Kluyveromyces lactis: one gene and its partners. The protein of the gene in region 1 interacts with the protein of each later gene in a pairwise test. Links are inferred from orthologs where the notes say so. Each region holds a gene or a part of one and is shown in the gene's direction. Other genes may lie near its edges. The genes, in order: SNF1, SSN8, RPI1, KLLA0_B00583g and SIP3.

Region 1 (3,478 bases):
GTTGTCAGTTACTGCAAACGATTTACTGAAACTTCCGATATTCGCTCGCACAATAAACCAACTGAACCATTGAATATCAATCGTGTTAAGAAGCCAAAATTATTAAAAAACCTATCTGCATATCTGGATAGAAACATTTCAGAATTCCATTTTGCGCCTAAGGATGAGTGGCAGATATACTTGGGGGAACCATTGGAGAAAGAGAAGGATTTTTTGAGCTATTGGCTTGAAAACCAATCAAGATTTCCTGCATTGTGCAGTCTGGCTCTTGCCTTTTACCACACTAAGCTCTCAACTGCTGACGTCGAAAGGAGCTTCTCAATCAGTAAGCGTGTTTTAGATGATAGATTTTCTCTTGCTAGTTCCAATTTAAAAAGCACAATGATAGTAAGGAATCGCTTGATGTGTTTCAATTTGGGCTCAAAGATGCCTGTGACTGAACATATTGCAACGGACTCTTGGACGGATGACGAGGACGATATGGAGCATTCAAATTTTAGCCAACAATCATTCTACGATCCTGCCGCAGTCATCGATATTTACTCCAGTGACAGTAGTGATTGAAACTAATACATAGATAGCAGAATTTTGGAATCACCAGTTTATAATGAGGAAAATACGATATTAACGTTATTCCTAATTATAAAAGAGTAATTGGGGAAGATTAAAGATGTAATATATACATCTTGGTTCGTATATAATAGCCACTTATCGAGTGGTGATGTACTTTAATGTAGTGTCATAGCATATTGACGTAGTGAAGAATGGATTCGTGAATTGTCTGAATCCTCTCGTAAAACGTGACAGGATTGGTGACTGAAAATGGTCAATTCGCCGGACTCGTCCCAGTACGGTCTCCTACATAAGGTATCAGTCATCATCAACGATTTCTACGCCGTTTACATTTTGATGATAAAATTGAAAACTTGTCATATACGGAACATCAACAATAAAAGAAGGATCAATGCGTAATTGTAGGGCGGATAGAATTGGGTTTTGTGAGACTCCAGAAACGTCACACTAGTATAAGAATTGCAAGTTTTCTAACAAGTTAGTCAACTTCTCAATTAGAAGCAACTATTCTCAGAGTAAACAAGATATCCCTCTGTTGAACGCAAACTCTTAGTGAAGCATTTACGAGTACATACTCATCAGAGAAGATATGTCGCACGACCCAAATCAACAACAGCCGCATGGTGGCTCAGGTCAAGGCCATCACCAACGCCAGCTGACTAACCACGCACAAGGCCAACATATCGGTAAGTATCAAATCATCAAGACCTTGGGTGAAGGATCATTTGGTAAAGTGAAACTGGCGTACCATATCTCTACGGGACAAAAAGTGGCATTAAAAATCATCAATAAGAAGGTTCTAGCCAAGAGTGATATGCAAGGTAGAATCGAGAGAGAGATTTCGTACTTACGTTTGTTGAGACATCCACACATTATCAAATTGTATGACGTGATCAAATCGAAGGACGAAATTATCATGGTGATTGAGTATGCTGGTAATGAATTATTTGATTATATTGTCCAAAGAGACAAGATGCCTGAACAAGAAGCAAGAAGATTTTTCCAACAGATTATTAGCGCAGTAGATTATTGTCACCGTCATAAAATTGTGCATAGAGATTTGAAACCAGAGAATTTACTATTAGACGAACATTTGAACGTTAAGATTGCTGATTTTGGTTTATCTAATATAATGACAGATGGTAACTTTTTGAAGACTTCATGTGGTTCTCCAAATTATGCGGCCCCAGAAGTCATCAGCGGTAAACTATATGCAGGTCCAGAGGTTGACGTTTGGTCTTCAGGGGTTATCTTATACGTCATGTTGTGTCGTAGGTTACCATTCGATGACGAAAGTATCCCAGTGTTGTTTAAGAACATTAGCAATGGTGTTTACACCATACCTAACTTCCTTTCCCAAGGTGCTGCGAGCTTAATCAAAAAGATGCTCATCGTCAATCCAGTTAATAGAATTACCGTGCATGAAATCATGCAGGATGAATGGTTCAAAGTTGATTTACCCGACTACCTAGTTCCTGCTGAAAGCACCCATCAAGAAAACTCTGAAAGCAAAACAGAAGATGGCGGCCCATCCGTGCCACTCGAACTGATCGATGATTCGTTAGTTCAAACGCTATCAAACACTATGGGTTATGACGTAGATGAGATATATGAGGCTTTAGAGTCCGATGAAGATCATCCATCTTTAAATGAAATCAGGGATGCCTATCAGTTAATTAAAGAGAACAGAAATTTAATCAACGACATCAAGGTGAACAAGCAACAATCTAATGACTTGGATACTTTCTTATCGCAATCTCCACCCACTTTCGAACAATCCTTGCATGCCCCCCCGGGCTCAAAAAATCGACACTCACACCGCCATTCAAAGAGAACACAGCAACGTACATATCAATATCATTATGGAAATGGTTCTCAGGATGGAGACAGCACGATTGCAATTTTACCTAGCTCGTTACCACAGATCCATAGAGCCAACATGGTAGCACAAGGGTCCCAGGCTGCTGCTAAGATTTCACCATTAAGCGTGAAAAAATCAAAAACAAGGTGGCATTTCGGTATACGATCAAGATCCTATCCATTAGACGTTATGGGAGAAATATACATTGCATTGAAAAACTTGGGAGCCGAATGGGCGAAACCATCAGAAGAGGACCTATGGACTATTAGAGTCCGTTGGAGATATAATATCGATATGCCTGATGACGAAATGAAGAACAAGCAGATTCCAGATTTAATGAAGATGGTAATCCAATTGTTCCAAATTGAGACAAATAACTACTTAGTGGATTTCAAATTTGATGGCTGGGAGTCCAGTAACGGTGTAGTGTATTCAAGTCGGAACGACGATGAAATGAGTACGTTCAGTGCATACCCCTTTCTACATTTAGCAACCAGGCTGATTATGGAACTTGCAGTGAATAGCCAAGGAAGTTGATTTTAAGGTTCATGAAATTAAAAAAATACTAACGGATAATATCCAACGAAGAGTGTATATAAGTTTGAATATTTGCTTAAAGTTTAAGCCTTATATACATATCATTAAATAATGACAATCACTATATTATATGAGAAATTACTCTTAGCTCACAACACTCGCCGGGAAGAAGAGGAAAACAACATACATGTTTTTGACACATGAAAAAAGAATGCATCGGCCGGGAATCGAACCCGGGGCCCAACGATGGCAACGTTGGATTTTACCACTAAACCACCGATGCTACTTTGTTGTAGTTTTCGTAAGATAGACTGAAGACAGGCCAGACGAAGGGTCATGTGAGCTAGCCAGCACACGGCAGAGTTCCAAGACGTCAGTGACTGGGCATATGGATCCTGTGGTATCCAGAAGGGAAGGCCTAGATGGATCAAAGAGGGTCACGTGACAATATTTAGTGAAATTGGAATAGGCAGAAGCTGCGCATGACGAGTGGCTCATGAGACTATC
Region 2 (2,743 bases), on another chromosome or scaffold:
AGATAGAAATGGTAGGTAGTAGTTCCGTAAATGGAAAGCAAAGAAATACAAGAGATACTTACTCGATGGGAAAACCACACTAACAAGTAGATGATTCTAGTACTACACATGTTTACAACTCATAGCAAATGGTTAGCCGGACTCATACTAGATGGTGCGGTGCTAACAGCGTTCAAGAAAAAATCAAAACAGAGAAGATACATACAGTACTACTCTAGACCGCAGTCAATAACTCTTCTTTATCATCAAGGAAATTTGATCAGTACGTTTGTAAAAAGCAAGTCTCGTCCATGCTATATAAGCTCAGAGCTTGACTCTATGTTGCATTGTTATTTCATCACGTTAAAAATCCTAAAATGAAGAGGGAAAGATGACGGCTGGATCTTTTGAAATTCTTCCTTGTAGCACTTGATATGAGAGGATACTCAACTGAGTATAATCCAAGGCAATAAATGATACAATAATAAATAATCAGGGCAGCTTGGCATATTTGACTATGCGTAAGTATCGAAAAGTTCAAAATAAATTTGAAACGAATCCACTTCAAGCTGTTTGATGATTGAAAAAAGGATGGAGAGTTTCGTGAGCCGAGAAAGTAAGCTCCATTGGGTTACCCAAGCTACCTCCTCCCTAATCACCCCTGTAAACAGAAGTAACAAAAAAAGAGATAAAAACGCTCGGGCAATCGTCATAACTTTCGTTTAAAGTAAAGAAATACTTCAGTACCCAAGACACAGAGGCTTCTAAAACAGCCTCTGGATAGAAACCGTGACAGAAAACCAACACGATTAATGAGTTGATTTAAACATTTGAAAAGTTTTTAAATCTCATTACGTTTCCGCTTACGGACTGGTCGGAGACTTTCTACCCAAAGCTATAGAAATGATATCATTTCAATTGAACAGATAAAATCCGTTCCTTATGTAAGCTTCGATCAGTGACGATTCTTCGACTACAAAACCCTCGACTTACGAAACAAACAACAACAAAAGACAACACTAGAAAACATTTAATTAAAAGTAAGTGTTTGAAGTGCTGATGTTTGGTTCATATAGTTGAATGTTTAACTTTTTTCCAAAAAATTTTCAAAAAGGTTACCCGACTTCTTAACGACCTGAAATTTAGGGCTGCAACGGTCAGCTTATCATAATGTACTTGATGATGAATTGAAGAATAGCGAACGGTAAGGTAGTAAGAACCGAATCGGGTTAGGTACTTTGAACAAAGGATTCCGACAACAAAAGGCAGTACAAATTTCACTGGAGGATAAAAAATACCTTTCCCCCCCTTATTCATTGAACAGCTAGAAGATTATCTTTCCAAAATGAGCGCCTCATACTGGGATTCGAGTCAGAGGCACAAGTGGAAGTATACTAGGGAATCCTTGGCTAAGGAGAAGCAGAAACTCTGGCTGTTGGAATGCCAATTATTCCCACAAGGTTTGAATGTTACGATTCACGATTCGAAGGCGAACAAGCAGGTGACGACAAACATTCCGGTTACACAGCGAGATCTGCATTATGATCGAGACTACAATTTGAGGATATACTGCTATTTCCTTATAATGAAGTTGGGCAGGAGGCTCAATATACGGCAGTGTGCACTTGTTACAGCACATGTTTATTTGAGCCGATTTTTGCTTCGAGCTAGTGTCAGGGAAGTGAACCTGTATCTTTTAATCACCACCTGCATCTATTTGGCTTGCAAAGTGGAAGAATGTCCGCAGCATATAAGAACGCTAGTCAACGAGGCGAGGTCTCTATGGCCAGAGTTTATTCCACCGGATGTGACAAAAGTGACCGAGTTTGAGTTTTATTTAATCGAGGAATTGCAATCATATTTGATTGTACACCATCCGTACCGGTCTCTAGAACAGATCGAGAAGGCATTATCATCCGAAAAGTACAACTATAAACTCTCAGACGATGAGCTTCAGAAAATATGGTCGTTGATTAACGATAGTTATACGACCGATGTCCATTTACTCTATTCACCGCACGTGATCGCCATAAGTTGTCTATTTGCAGTGTCTTGCATCATTCACAAGCCAGAGGACAGTACAAAGCGTGCTAACATCAACATGTTCATCGCTGAAACTCAAGTTAATTTGGAACAAGTGATGTTTATCCTTCAAGAACTCATATCACTATACGACCATTGGGACAAATACAATGAACTGCGGATCAGAGCGCTCCTACACGAGTTATACCTCCGTCAACAAACACCAGCAATTCAGTGATTCTGAAGCCGAAAAGATTTCGTTCAGTTCACACCTGTACATACATAACAAATTACGTAGCATTCAAGATCAACCACGCATCAAGGATATATCGCATAAGAACGAAATGAAATTATATTGGACAACTCACGGAAGAATCACAGAAATGCAGACACTGAGAAATATACACATTGTACGCACAAAAAAAATTTAGTTCGCAATCACAGTCAACTAGAGGACAAGTAGAAGCCTCACTCCAAGAGCTGCATTTGCAACTTCTATTTCTCTTTAACACCAAAAATATCTTTGGCGAAGCGATATCTGCCAAATAATCTAGAGCTATTCATGCGCAGAAAAGAAAAAAAAAAGTGAACGAACGGCAATATGATTTCGAGAGTTAAACATGAAACTCGAAATCAAATCTTAACTAACAATGTTAACGTGTATTTATAAAGAGTAGAAGTAGGAAAAGTGGAAGCACAAGTTCAAAAGAAAGCGAGTCCAAAAGTTTAGTGAAGCAGAAGC
Region 3 (4,244 bases), on another chromosome or scaffold:
GAAACTATCCAAAAGTTTTAGAATACAAAATACTCTCTCTATATGATACATAACAGTAAGATTTGGCAGATCCAGCATGTGCTTTGCACCGTGCCAGAGTACTAGAAAAAAAATATCAATCCGAAGTTTTCTGGCAGGTCTTCTGGCAAGCTTTTCGGCTTATATAACATGTATCCTACTGACATTCACGGTAACTGGTACTGTCAAATTTAATAAAAAGAGAGTAGATGCCCGCTCCGATCATGCAAGATGACTATATAATGTGTCTCGACATATGACAAGAATCGATGACACCACTATTGACTGAATCAGTGTATGGTATAGATCAAGGTAGAACTCATGTAAAATCCAGAACTGACCAAAGTGACAAAAATGAACAAAAAAAAAAAAAAATTTGTCCTGCTAAACAACGGATAATCCCTTGAAATTTAGTTGGCCCCTGGGCCAACTGAAATGTTCCAGTTCCCGTTTCATCTTCGACAAACTCAAAACGCTCCGCTACCGTGCGATTTTCTTTTCTCGCTATACATGTATAACTTGGGAAGTTAGAATTTCCAAAAATTGAAATGAATAATTAACTTGGAAACCAGCTCCATTAAAAAAAGCTAGGAGTTGTATTTCCTCAGTAAATTAATAAATTCAAACACAACAGAATATAGCGTCCGCCATACTAGGATCGGTTTATACTCTATTACCCTGTAACTTTACTTACATGTCTAAACACGGTCTGTTGTAAGACGTAAGCACCAAAGCGTCATAGACAAATTTTGCCTCCTTTTCGATCTTTTCTATTGAACAATACTGGCAAGCGGTACTCATTATTCTGTTTTCGTTTTTCTTTTTGGGAATTTAGTTTGGTTTCCTTTTCTTTTGGACTTTGGTTTGAGCTTTCAAATCCACTTTTTAAAAAGAACAAAGAACATATAGAACATATAGAACATATAGAATGTAAAGGTTTGGGGGAATAGGAAGAAGAGCAGGTTTAAGTGTGTATTCTGATTGCCTCGTTCGACGATTTTTGTTTTGTGCTAAGCATTTTCAGTGATAGTTACAATCTGCTTTAACAGAGAGAGAGTCCTTTATTTTTCCTGAAGCGATTTGTGGTATAAAGGAGAGTTAAACGATAGTGTGATTTTTCTATTTGGTCTACTTTCATTAGGCAAAATCAGATTTCTCACTATACTACTGTTGGACTGAAGGATAGCGTCTGATAACGCTTGATACCCTAGGCTTCTTTCGTTGTCTGGTTCTCAGTTTTATTTTATTTTATTATTCCATTAATTTTTTTGGATCGCAGGAATCACCTTCTACCATCCAAGCAGAGCTTACTTGATATAATTCAACCTAGCTTTTTTACTGCGTGATACACACGCGGTTGAACAAGACAGCAGAGTATAATATTCAGAAGGTTTTACCAGATAAACACAGCACGCTTTGCATTATGCAGAATAATTTAGCGGCGTATTTTGCTCAGGGGAATGCTTCTCAGGGGAATGCTACCCCGGGTAGAGTCGCATTGAACAGAAGCTCATCGAATGATGAATACGGAACAAGCAGTGTAAATAAACAAGTCCCAAATTACGACGATATGGGTCCTTCTGTGTCTATGGCGGTTCATGCTGATGACGACGACCATTTCAAGAATTCTACGTTCAATTTGAAAAGAACACGATCCATGGGACTGTTGGATCCATACATCGACGATACTCAGAAACTTCTGGCAGGTTCGAGCTCTGTTGATTCCGATAACTTCTCTAACAGTAACATCGATGGCTTGAGTAACGACCTCAATAGTGGTGACAGTAGCGGGAGCATGAATAATATTAACAACAACAACAACAACAACAACAACAACAACAACAACAACAACAACGACAACGAAAACAAAACTGATAATATCAATAAAAACAGTAATAATACTTCTTATAATGACGATAACGACGGTAATGATACTACGCTTAATGACACCGGGCTGAATAAACACAATACAACTGTTGGCGGAACCGACGAAGACTACACAGACGAAAACATGCAAGTCGATAACTACGACGATGACTACGAAGCAGATTACGATTACGACTACGACTACAAAGATGTAGAAGATTCTAATTCTCCTCCAGACCCGGGTACTGACGATTTCCTAATTCATCATGATGACAACGACTTGATGTATGAACCCAATAGACATGTGGATTACTTATCTCATAAATGGAACGAAAACGAAATATCTCAGTCATGGCGTTATATCATTTTGAAAAAGAAACGGAAGGACACAGATTTAATCAATGCTGCAAGGTTGGAAAATGCTTCCTGGAGAACTTGGTCAAAGGCTAGAAATAATCTGAAAACTGTGAATCCAGAATCTTTGAACTGGTCAAAGGATTCTGATGTAACTTGGTTATACGGTCCGATTGTAGTGGGCGATCAAAATAACTCGACGTCGTCATCAAAGCCCACTTCCAACGTTGAAATAGGAAACAATCATGCGGCCACCATGGGGTATGGTTCCGATGATGAAAATTCAAAAAGGTTGATCCAAAAGTCTCAGAGTCCCGGTCCTAAACCTATTCTAAAGAAGAGAACTGTTAGTGAAATTATCGAGGAAAACTCCAAATGGAGATTAGATATAGCAAGGCAGCACAGAAAGCAAACTAGTGACTTGCATGCTATTTTGGATCCGCAGTCAAGTCAGACAACGCATGACGATTATGATGCTATTGCCGCGAAGGTGAATGCACAATATTACAAAAATATCCATACACCGCCTGATGAATCGGTGGAATCTATTTCGCCCGTTGTGACCGAAACAAACTCGTCGATAGTAAATACCACTCCAGGTCCAATCTCTGGCTCTGTGATAGAAACCCCATCCGCAAGATCTGATCCTCCCATATTATCATCGATTCTTACATCATCGATGAAGCAAAAGCAAAAAAGGGAAAGACATATTCATTTCAATGACCGTGTCGAACAATGTATTGCGGTTAATCATAACCCCATAGACGCTAATCCTAATGATGACGAAGTCCCAATGACAAATACCGATTACCACTCTGACGATATGTCGGACGGTGCCAGATCTTCGCATCAGTATTCTGACTTTGACGATGGATATAGAAATTCAGGGGCCAACAGCGTCGAAGATTACGCCGATGACGAAGATGATGAAGACGCTGACAGCTACGATTATGATGAAGATGACGACGAAGATGACGAAGATGATGGGTTATTTATCAGTGCACATACTAGAAAAAATCGAACCAATTCGGGGGCTAGTGATGGCACAGATGTTGCAAATTCTTTAAGATCACTCTCACTATCCAAATTTCCAAACGCAACTATTAAACCACTTCCAGCCACTACTCTAAACTACGGATCTGACGATGAATATTATGATGAAGACGAAAATGAATGGTATTATGGTAACGCAGTATCACACAATGTGAATACTAGCAGAGGATTTGACTACATGTATGATTATAATTCCGTTTACACGGGGGATACATCCAACTTTGTAACTGTGGACAATTCGTGTGATATCCTCGATGTACCGGATGGCATTGGATTAGATACTCCAATACAGGACGCGAATGACGGATATATGGATGATGACTCAAGAGGGAAAATATATACATACCATCAAAGCCTTCCGGTACAAGATGATAACGATGAACATCCGGACAACGAATTCATCGCAGATTCTTCCCAACCTGGTTTCAGTCATGATGACGAAGAGCATGACGATAACGGTGAAGAACTAGAGCTTACTGCAAAAGACCCACTATCATTAAGGCGAACCTCATCTATAGGGAAGTCTAGAGCAAATTCCATTCATGATTTTATCACACCTTCCAATTCTGCATCTCCTGTTTTAAAACAGACACATAGCTTCATCACTGGAGAACCTTTATCTCAACACAATTCGACGGTAAGAAGACCACCATTAAAATCTCCTTCATCGGGTAGCTTTTTATTTGGATCTGATTCTGATTCTGAGTGATCGCTCAAGTGCTCTTAGGTATATTCGGAGTTCATTTTTTTTATTGAGGTTAAACTTAAAAATACCACTCTACCAGCATATATATTTTTTTTTCACTACGTAAATAGTATTAATTAGAAGAACAACAATTTTTCTTGGTTTTATCCATCTGCGTAGATCTCTCGCTCAGCGCTTAATGCTTCTATTGATTAACTTGCTACGGTGTTTTATTTATGTTGAGAGAGTGCGCTTAATTATATACTCA
Region 4 (3,363 bases), on another chromosome or scaffold:
ACGATTTGTCATGTCTTCCCCCCACTATCTTTCTTTCGTCTCTTTCCTGAATCGTTTAGTTCCTATTAACTTAAATGTGAAACATAATCCTTTCAAAAGCCTTATCAGGAAAGAGAAGATCCATCACAGAGTGAACTACTAGCCAGTTATACGATACAATATCCACCAATAAAGTCCAAAATAACAATAAATCACAAAACATAACAAACAAATTAACATGTCAACACCAAAAGAGTGCAACGACAGACCATATTTATGTGAAATTTGTGGGAACAGATTCCATAGGTTGGAACACAAGACAAGGCATATACGAACACACACAGGAGAAAAGCCTTTCGCATGCACGGTTCCTGGTTGTCCCAAGCGATTTAGCCGAAATGACGAATTAAAGAGACACATCAAAACACATTTCAAATCAAGAAAAAGAAAGCCAAGAACCATTAGACCTAAATCCAGATCATCCAGTCAGGTAAATCTAGCTCAAATGAATGAACAGGGTATTCCAGTTAATAATACCGATAAACTTATAGCCCCACAGCCAACTCTACCTGCTATGATCCCTGTGCCATATCATTTACAAACTTCAATGTACTTAGACGTGGAAAAACCAGCCCAGTTTGCTCCAATATCTCAGAATTCCAGTAGCAGCTTGGTGAACACTATTTTCACGGAACACAGCGACATGAGCTCGTCGAGGCTAAGTAGCCTAACAAACTCACCAAACCTGGTAGCTTCGTCATCAGGTGCTCATGAAGACCACTACCTACACACCATGTCAAGCAAGAATCTGTTAACAGCCTTGAGTGCACTTCAAGGAATGACCCCAATACGAAAAAGCAACTCATTACAGGACTTACAACCCCACGATACAAACCTCGAGGAGAGAAAGAACTGCAGCTACTTATCTATATCATCACTACTCAACCCTAAGAATTGAAAACACTAGATAAATTCAACAATGACGTTGATAGACAATATTGTTAGTTATTCCAAAATACCCTCTTAGTTGAAGGATGAGAACTTTTATAAACCTTATATACTTATGCAAATTCTCATCATGAGATAGAATTGATAGACTTTCCAACTATGGAGAAGAACTGTGCCTTTCTCGGCACTATAGATTTCGTACCGATAAGGTCCTTTACCCTCTGTTTCATGTCACGTGAACGAAGTTTCCATCTGTTTATTTTGTCCTTTTTCGAATTTCTGCAAATTGATCAATCAAGAAAACACATAATATATATATATATATCGAAATCCCCAGATAACAACATTGTTTCTGAAAGTTCAAATAATGCATAAAGTAGCACCGACGGCACATTTGGTAACTATTTGGCGGAGGTAGCATAGAGGAAAACGTTCAAAAGTACCAAGAGACTACCTGAAGAACTTAATGGGGAATTTACCCAGTCATTCCAACAGACCACATCACAAACATCCATCAACTATGTCTCAGAACGTTAAAGATGTCTCTATGGTTGACATCAATGAAGCTATGAATGAAAGACAGGATGACACTTCAAATAAGGTCGAAACCCCAGGAGCATCCTCGAACCTTACCCAATCTCTATCACAAATGAACATTGATGACAGAAATGAGTTAACACCACAGCTTTCATCCAGAAAATCCACGTTGATATTTAATGACGACTTCGATGATATTTCGAATCAGCATAAGCACATTGAACACCAGAATAATTACGACGACGGAAGAATCATCACTGACAATGAAGATGAGGATGAGGATGTTGTGAATAATATCATAACAGGACCCTCTGATGGATCTGCATCCTCGCTTTCAGCAGATTCGCCAGCTGCCAGTTCACACAGCGAAGATGGAAGACATCAAAATTCAGCATACACTAACAACTCTCAAGAACAACATGCCAACAAAGTTTCAGGAAATCATTACGATGGGAACGTACAACATCCAGGCCCTGCTATTAATCAGCAGACGCAACCGGTACCTGAACGTAGACCTACCATGGTTCCTGTTGAGATAACGTGGCAACAAGGCGGTTCCAAGGTCTATGTAACAGGTTCCTTCACTGGCTGGCGTAAGATGATTGGCCTTGTACCTGTTACTGACAAACCTGGAGTTTTCCATATCAAGTTACAATTACCTCCCGGTACTCACAGATTTAGATTCATCGTTGATAATGAACTCCGGTTCAGCGACTTTCTTCCCACTGCAACTGATCAGATGGGTAATTTTGTTAATTATCTTGAAATTGTTCCACCTGAGTCGATGCAAATGATGAATTATGAACTGGATGCCCAACAACAGACACAGCAAAAGCAAAATATGCAAAATCAACAACTCTCAGATAATGTTTCTCAATCTCAGAAAATTCGCGATCAAACCATCCAGTCACAGGTTAGAAGGCAACCATCTCAAAGTAAAGATGGCAAATTAAGTGCCAGATCCCAGCTTGCTTTGCATATTGAAGAAGACCCTGATGATATGGGAAACGGATACACCCGTTTCAAAGAGGAACAACAGCTAAAGACCGATTATGAGTATACTCAGGATATCCCTGCTGTCTTTACAGATCCTTCGGTGATGGAACAGTATTATCTCACATTAGACCAGCAACAGAACAATCAACAAAATATGTCATGGTTAACTCCTCCACAACTTCCACCTCAGTTGGAGAATGTTATTCTCAATAATTACAACAAAAATGCTGAACCAGGTAGTGAAAATAATTCAGGTGCGTTGCCAATTCCTAACCACGTCGTTCTTAATCATTTAGCAACGTCTTCTATTAAACATAATACTTTATGTGTTGCTAGCATCGTTAGATACAAAAGAAAATATGCAACACAGATACTATATGCGCCATTGCAATGAAACCACTCCTAGAGATTTGATTTTATATTTTTTACACTGAAATATCATAAGCGAAGTTCTTATGGGTTGAATATAAAACGTACACCATACCGAATTTCAATAAAATGCAGCAAAAAAAACGTAGACTTTGAGTCGCGTGCTAATAATACCGCACAATACTTCTACAATAAGACTTATCATGCTGATTCTAAGGTTAATCTTATTATATAAGTTACACATCTATATGCTTGGTTATTTCTTAGACTTTTTAGATTTCGCACTTTTTTTTTTTTCTTGTTGTAGCTCCACCATTTTATCGAGCTTTTGCTTTACCCTTTCTAACGATAGTTTAATGTCACCTTTTTGGAAGTGATCGAGGTCATAATAAGCTGGTGCTAATTCTATTAACCATTCAGGTCTAACTGATGTTACAGTTCTAATGTAGTTTTTGGAGGTTAGAACGAATTCATTGTATACAACCCATTCGGCATCATGGCCCAAAACAGTTGAAGGATGTATCAAAACATCTT
Region 5 (4,166 bases), on another chromosome or scaffold:
CCATAGATTCAGCTTCCTGAAAGAACTTATACCTCTTTCGAAGGCGAAAGATGAAGGATTGGTAAAAGATAGAGTCATCAAGAGTATACCACCAATAGAACAATACAAAGCCCCGAAATATCCGATTGTATTATGTCATGGACTCTCTGGCTTCGATAAACTGATATTGATACCTTCGATTTTCCAGTTAACGAAAATGATCAAAGCTAGCATACTATCCAACCATTCAGACTCATTTATGCAAGAAGACGATGACAAAGACATTCAGTCTGACGCCTTAGTACACGTTGATTACTGGATAGGGGTTCGGGAAGCTTTGGAGGCAAGAGGTTGTACTGTAATTACCGCCAAAGTACCAAGCTTCGGTAGCATTGAAGAAAGAGCAAAGGTATTAAATTCCTTCATTGATACAGAATTGGGCAAAGTCAAAAGGACTTTAGCCAAAGGAGACGTATACAACACTAATGAGGTTAACTCGAAATCTTTCAAAAAGGAAGACAAGATTAAGGTCAACCTTATAGCACATTCTATGGGTGGATTGGATTGTAGATACCTCATCTCCCATATACCGAATAAAAATTTCGAAGTTTGCAGCCTAACTACGATTTCTACGCCACACCATGGCTCTGAAATGGCTGATTATGTGGTAGGACTATTCAGTGATATGACACAAACTTTTGATGTCAATACTAAAAAGAAGCTGTTACCTCCAGCTTTTTACCAATTGACGACAACCTATTGCTCACATTTCAATAAAATAACGCCGGATGACCCTAGCGTAGCTTACTTCAGTTATGGCGCCTGTTTCAAACCGCGATGGTATAACATGTTTTATATGTCATGGTGCGTGATATCAAATTTATCTGGCGGAGTACCTAACGATGGAATGGTAAGCATACAAAGTGCAAGATGGGGCCGTTATTTGGGGACGCTTGAGAACGTCGATCACTCTGATTTAATAAACTGGAAAAATCGATTACAGAAAGAGTTTCAATATCGTCTGCAAGGTACTTTGAAGAAACCTCAAAACCCTGATATTGACATTTTGCATTTTTACCTTAAAGTCACAGAGAACCTTGCCAACTTAGGATTTTAGCTACATACAAAATGTCTAATTAGCATCAACCTGAACCGAATCAAGCATACTGCTTAAATAAACCTAATGAATTAATGTGAACAGAGTTTCGTATGTATGTTTTTTTTTGGATCTTTTATGTTAGCAAAGTCACTTGTTTCTGTAAAAAGATTATATTTAAAGAGATATTTAAAGTATATAAGCGTAAGATTTGATGGATTGACGATTAAGAGCAAAACAAACCAGGACAACGAGGCGGCATCCCTAACCTATTGCGAAAGTTATGACTGCATATGAAACTAGAAGAAATGACAAACTGACAAGGCTTACAGCTTTGGCTTACAAAGAAGCCTCAATAGATACTCCATCCTTTAGAACTAGTGCCAACCATTTCCATATGCAAGTACTTGCCTTGGAAAACTGGATTCAAGAGAATACGAATTTATCTAAGAACCAGGCTTTATCAGGGCTCGCAGAACTCAATAAAGATGAAGACTCTATGATTGATAGACTGCTCCCACCTCTTCCGTATTTGAATAACGGTTTAGTTGAGAATCAAGCATATACACCAGCAATGGTAAATGAGTTTCAATTAGCCTTGAAAACATTTGCATCTAGCATATCGTCATTGATGTACGGTAATCCTGAAACATACCTTTCAACATATCTTGATATCTTGGTGAAAGTAGTCAAGCCTTATAAGGAAGTAAGGGAGAATTTTGATTATTACCAAGGAAGATATGACATGTTAAATAAAAACTACCATGAACTAAAGATATCAGCTTTGATGAATACGGAATCCATCCGAGAGAAGGCGATAGAACTCTTTGATATTAGAAAACTATATCGGGACGCTTCTTTTGACTTATTATGGAGTATAGGAACTATCCAGATAAAACTTGATGAATTGATCTCAAAGATGATAGCATCAACAATTCCTTCAACTGCTCAAAATAAAAATGCAAAGTACAGTATCAATATATCAGACGAGCTTGAATTAGAATTCAGTCGTTACAGGAAATGGACTCAAGCTCTTTCAATTTGCTTGGATAATTCCACAGAACATCTTCAAAAGCTAAAAAGTCAGATATGCGAGTATTGCGAAACATCTTTTGAACCATCAAAAGATTTAAGAACATATGATATCACAAATATCAACAGCGCAGCACTTATCAAGAACACGAAACCTTCAGAAAATAAGAAGTCTGGTTGGTTATACGTGAAAACCAAAATAAAAGCAAGCGGAAGATTCACCTGGCTAAAGCGATGGTGTTTTTTAGAAAGGGGAATGTTTGGTATGCTAATGCTATCACCTTCAAAAACATTTGTTGAAGAAAGCGATAAATTCGGAGTTTTATTAATTTCCTGCAACTACAATCCACACGAAGACCGGAGATATTGTTTTGACTTGAGGATCATAAATAAGGATGAGACTGCAGAATCGCAAGACATAATCCTCACTCTTCAGGCAGAAACACTTGAGGAACTCAGTTCATGGCTGACGCTGTTTAGTTACGCAAAAAAAGAGGCATACAAGCTCGATAACAAATCTCCTGAGTATTCGATGCTCCTTTCCCGTGTTTCTCCCTTGTTCATCGAGTTTGCTTGTTCATCTATTACAGAGATTGATTTCCAGACTACATCAGTTACTGAACACCAGACACATTCACTGCTCAATATTATTCAGGCTAACCCTAATATTGCCAATGATTTTGGGGTTTTCAAAAATCCCACGTTCCGATTCCCCGTAATGACTCAAGCTACAAAACTAGCCGTTATTTCCAATGCTTTCACCGAAGATCAAGGTCTTTCGGGTGCTATACCAGCAAATATATGGGGTTGTACTGCCACAAGTCATTCCTTCAGGTTAACTGATCCAAGAGACGACAAATTTCCGATCGATAATAATGCATGGAACCCAATATCTTACCCAGCATACTATCCTGAGAAACTTAAATCGGATGATTTACTTTTCAGAACTCTTTTTACAGGCTTTCTCAACATCGAAATTTGCGACAGTGAGCTTCTCCTATTTAAAGAACCCTGCATATGCTCCTTTTCTTCAGTGAGCCGGTATCCCTCGACGATGTTTGCCACTTCGAATATGTTATACTTCTACACTAATTTCATGGGATTCGTGTATTTAAATGAATATTCCTTCAAAAGTATTGTGGGAGTCTCTGTAGTGTCCAATGAACTTGAGATGGACAGTGGAAAATTGGAAATTGACTTGAAGAATAAATCGAAAATAGTAGTCGAGGCCTTCTACTGTGATCCATATTGCTTAAGCGAAAAAATATTGGGAGCATTGGAGACTACATTGCAGAAGAGCGACCTGAGAATTGATCAACTTATAATTAAGCTTGACAATATCGAATCAACTTTCGCTAGAAAAGAGAGTAGCAATCCTAAGACATTAATTCCTGAAATGTCATTAGTACGAAGCTTGAACATAGACAAGATGAACATGAGACAGCGACAGCAAAAATTCCAGTTAGAGCATGATTCAATATTCAGAATGGATTTCCACGTTCCAAGCAGAGCCTTAGCTCACTTAATGTTTGGTGACAAATCAACAGTTTTCCACGAATGTACGTTTTTATCTAGATCGAAGACCAAACATGATGCTGTAGGTGCGTGGTTCATCAATCCAGAGACTAAAGAGCTCGTACGGAAGATGAGATTTCGTCTAAGACTAGCCAGAGCACTTATTTCTGATAATAAAGTTCATCGGTCGACGAACACCGATTTCAGTTACATGGATATTTTACAGACTCTAACAAAAACGTCTGAGAATTTTTATTATGAGATTGATCAAAAGACAGGCTTCTTTTCTCTTCCTTTAACTAAATTATTTTGCATTGAGACGAAGTATGTGATAATCGATAACCCTAAAAATGACTATAACACCAAAATTAGGAAAACCCCGGGTTCATCTTGTTCATTATACACTTATTACAACGTTATTTTTGTGAATTCAAACTCATTAAAACCTGTATCATCATTAAACTATATCGATAAATTCATCAAGGCAACTGTTTTATCGATTTTGGGGAATGAATCGCGAATTTTGAAACATGTTCTATCGACA

Evidence for each region.
Region 2: the proteins of SNF1 (region 1) and SSN8 interact in a two-hybrid assay, tested with the Saccharomyces cerevisiae proteins (2 studies listed by BioGRID, with this or other methods). The link is inferred for Kluyveromyces lactis from reciprocal best matches to the Saccharomyces cerevisiae genes SNF1 and SSN8.
Region 3: the proteins of SNF1 (region 1) and RPI1 interact in binary tests that used the Saccharomyces cerevisiae proteins (3 or more experiments, as listed by UniProt). The link is inferred for Kluyveromyces lactis from reciprocal best matches to the Saccharomyces cerevisiae genes SNF1 and REG1.
Region 4: the proteins of SNF1 (region 1) and KLLA0_B00583g interact in binary tests that used the Saccharomyces cerevisiae proteins (3 or more experiments, as listed by UniProt). The link is inferred for Kluyveromyces lactis from reciprocal best matches to the Saccharomyces cerevisiae genes SNF1 and GAL83.
Region 5: the proteins of SNF1 (region 1) and SIP3 interact in a two-hybrid assay, tested with the Saccharomyces cerevisiae proteins (2 studies listed by BioGRID). The link is inferred for Kluyveromyces lactis from reciprocal best matches to the Saccharomyces cerevisiae genes SNF1 and SIP3.

Annotation. Positions count from the first base shown.
Region 1 is NC_006037.1:338,300-341,777, reverse strand, and holds SNF1 (AMP-activated serine/threonine-protein kinase catalytic subunit SNF1), read left to right. Parts: upstream 1-1,162; coding exon 1,163-2,971; downstream 2,972-3,478. UniProt on the Saccharomyces cerevisiae protein: Serine/threonine protein kinase essential for release from glucose repression.
Region 2 is NC_006041.1:737,307-740,049, reverse strand, and holds SSN8 (cyclin-dependent protein serine/threonine kinase regulator SSN8), read left to right. Parts: upstream 1-1,324; coding exon 1,325-2,239; downstream 2,240-2,743. UniProt on the Saccharomyces cerevisiae protein: Component of the SRB8-11 complex. The SRB8-11 complex is a regulatory module of the Mediator complex which is itself involved in regulation of basal and activated RNA polymerase II-dependent transcription.
Region 3 is NC_006042.1:411,719-415,962, forward strand, and holds RPI1 (protein phosphatase regulator REG1), read left to right. Parts: upstream 1-1,441; coding exon 1,442-4,000; downstream 4,001-4,244. Other genes in the region: KLLA0_F04323g (uncharacterized protein), read left to right, coding at 1-21. UniProt on the Saccharomyces cerevisiae protein: Involved in RNA processing and negative regulation of glucose repression. Regulates the level of two antigens, P43 and P70. Binds to protein phosphatase type 1. Functions with REG2 and SNF1 protein kinase to regulate growth.
Region 4 is NC_006038.1:44,310-47,672, reverse strand, and holds KLLA0_B00583g (protein kinase subunit beta), read left to right. Parts: upstream 1-1,393; coding exon 1,394-2,854; downstream 2,855-3,363. Other genes in the region: DEAH-box ATP-dependent RNA helicase PRP43, read right to left, coding at 3,086-3,363. UniProt on the Saccharomyces cerevisiae protein: Beta subunit of the SNF1 kinase complex, which is required for transcriptional, metabolic, and developmental adaptations in response to glucose limitation.
Region 5 is NC_006039.1:243,701-247,866, reverse strand, and holds the start of SIP3 (Sip3p), read left to right. Parts: upstream 1-1,358; coding exon 1,359-4,166. Other genes in the region: TGL2 (triglyceride lipase), read left to right, coding at 1-1,096. UniProt on the Saccharomyces cerevisiae protein: May be involved in sterol transfer between intracellular membranes.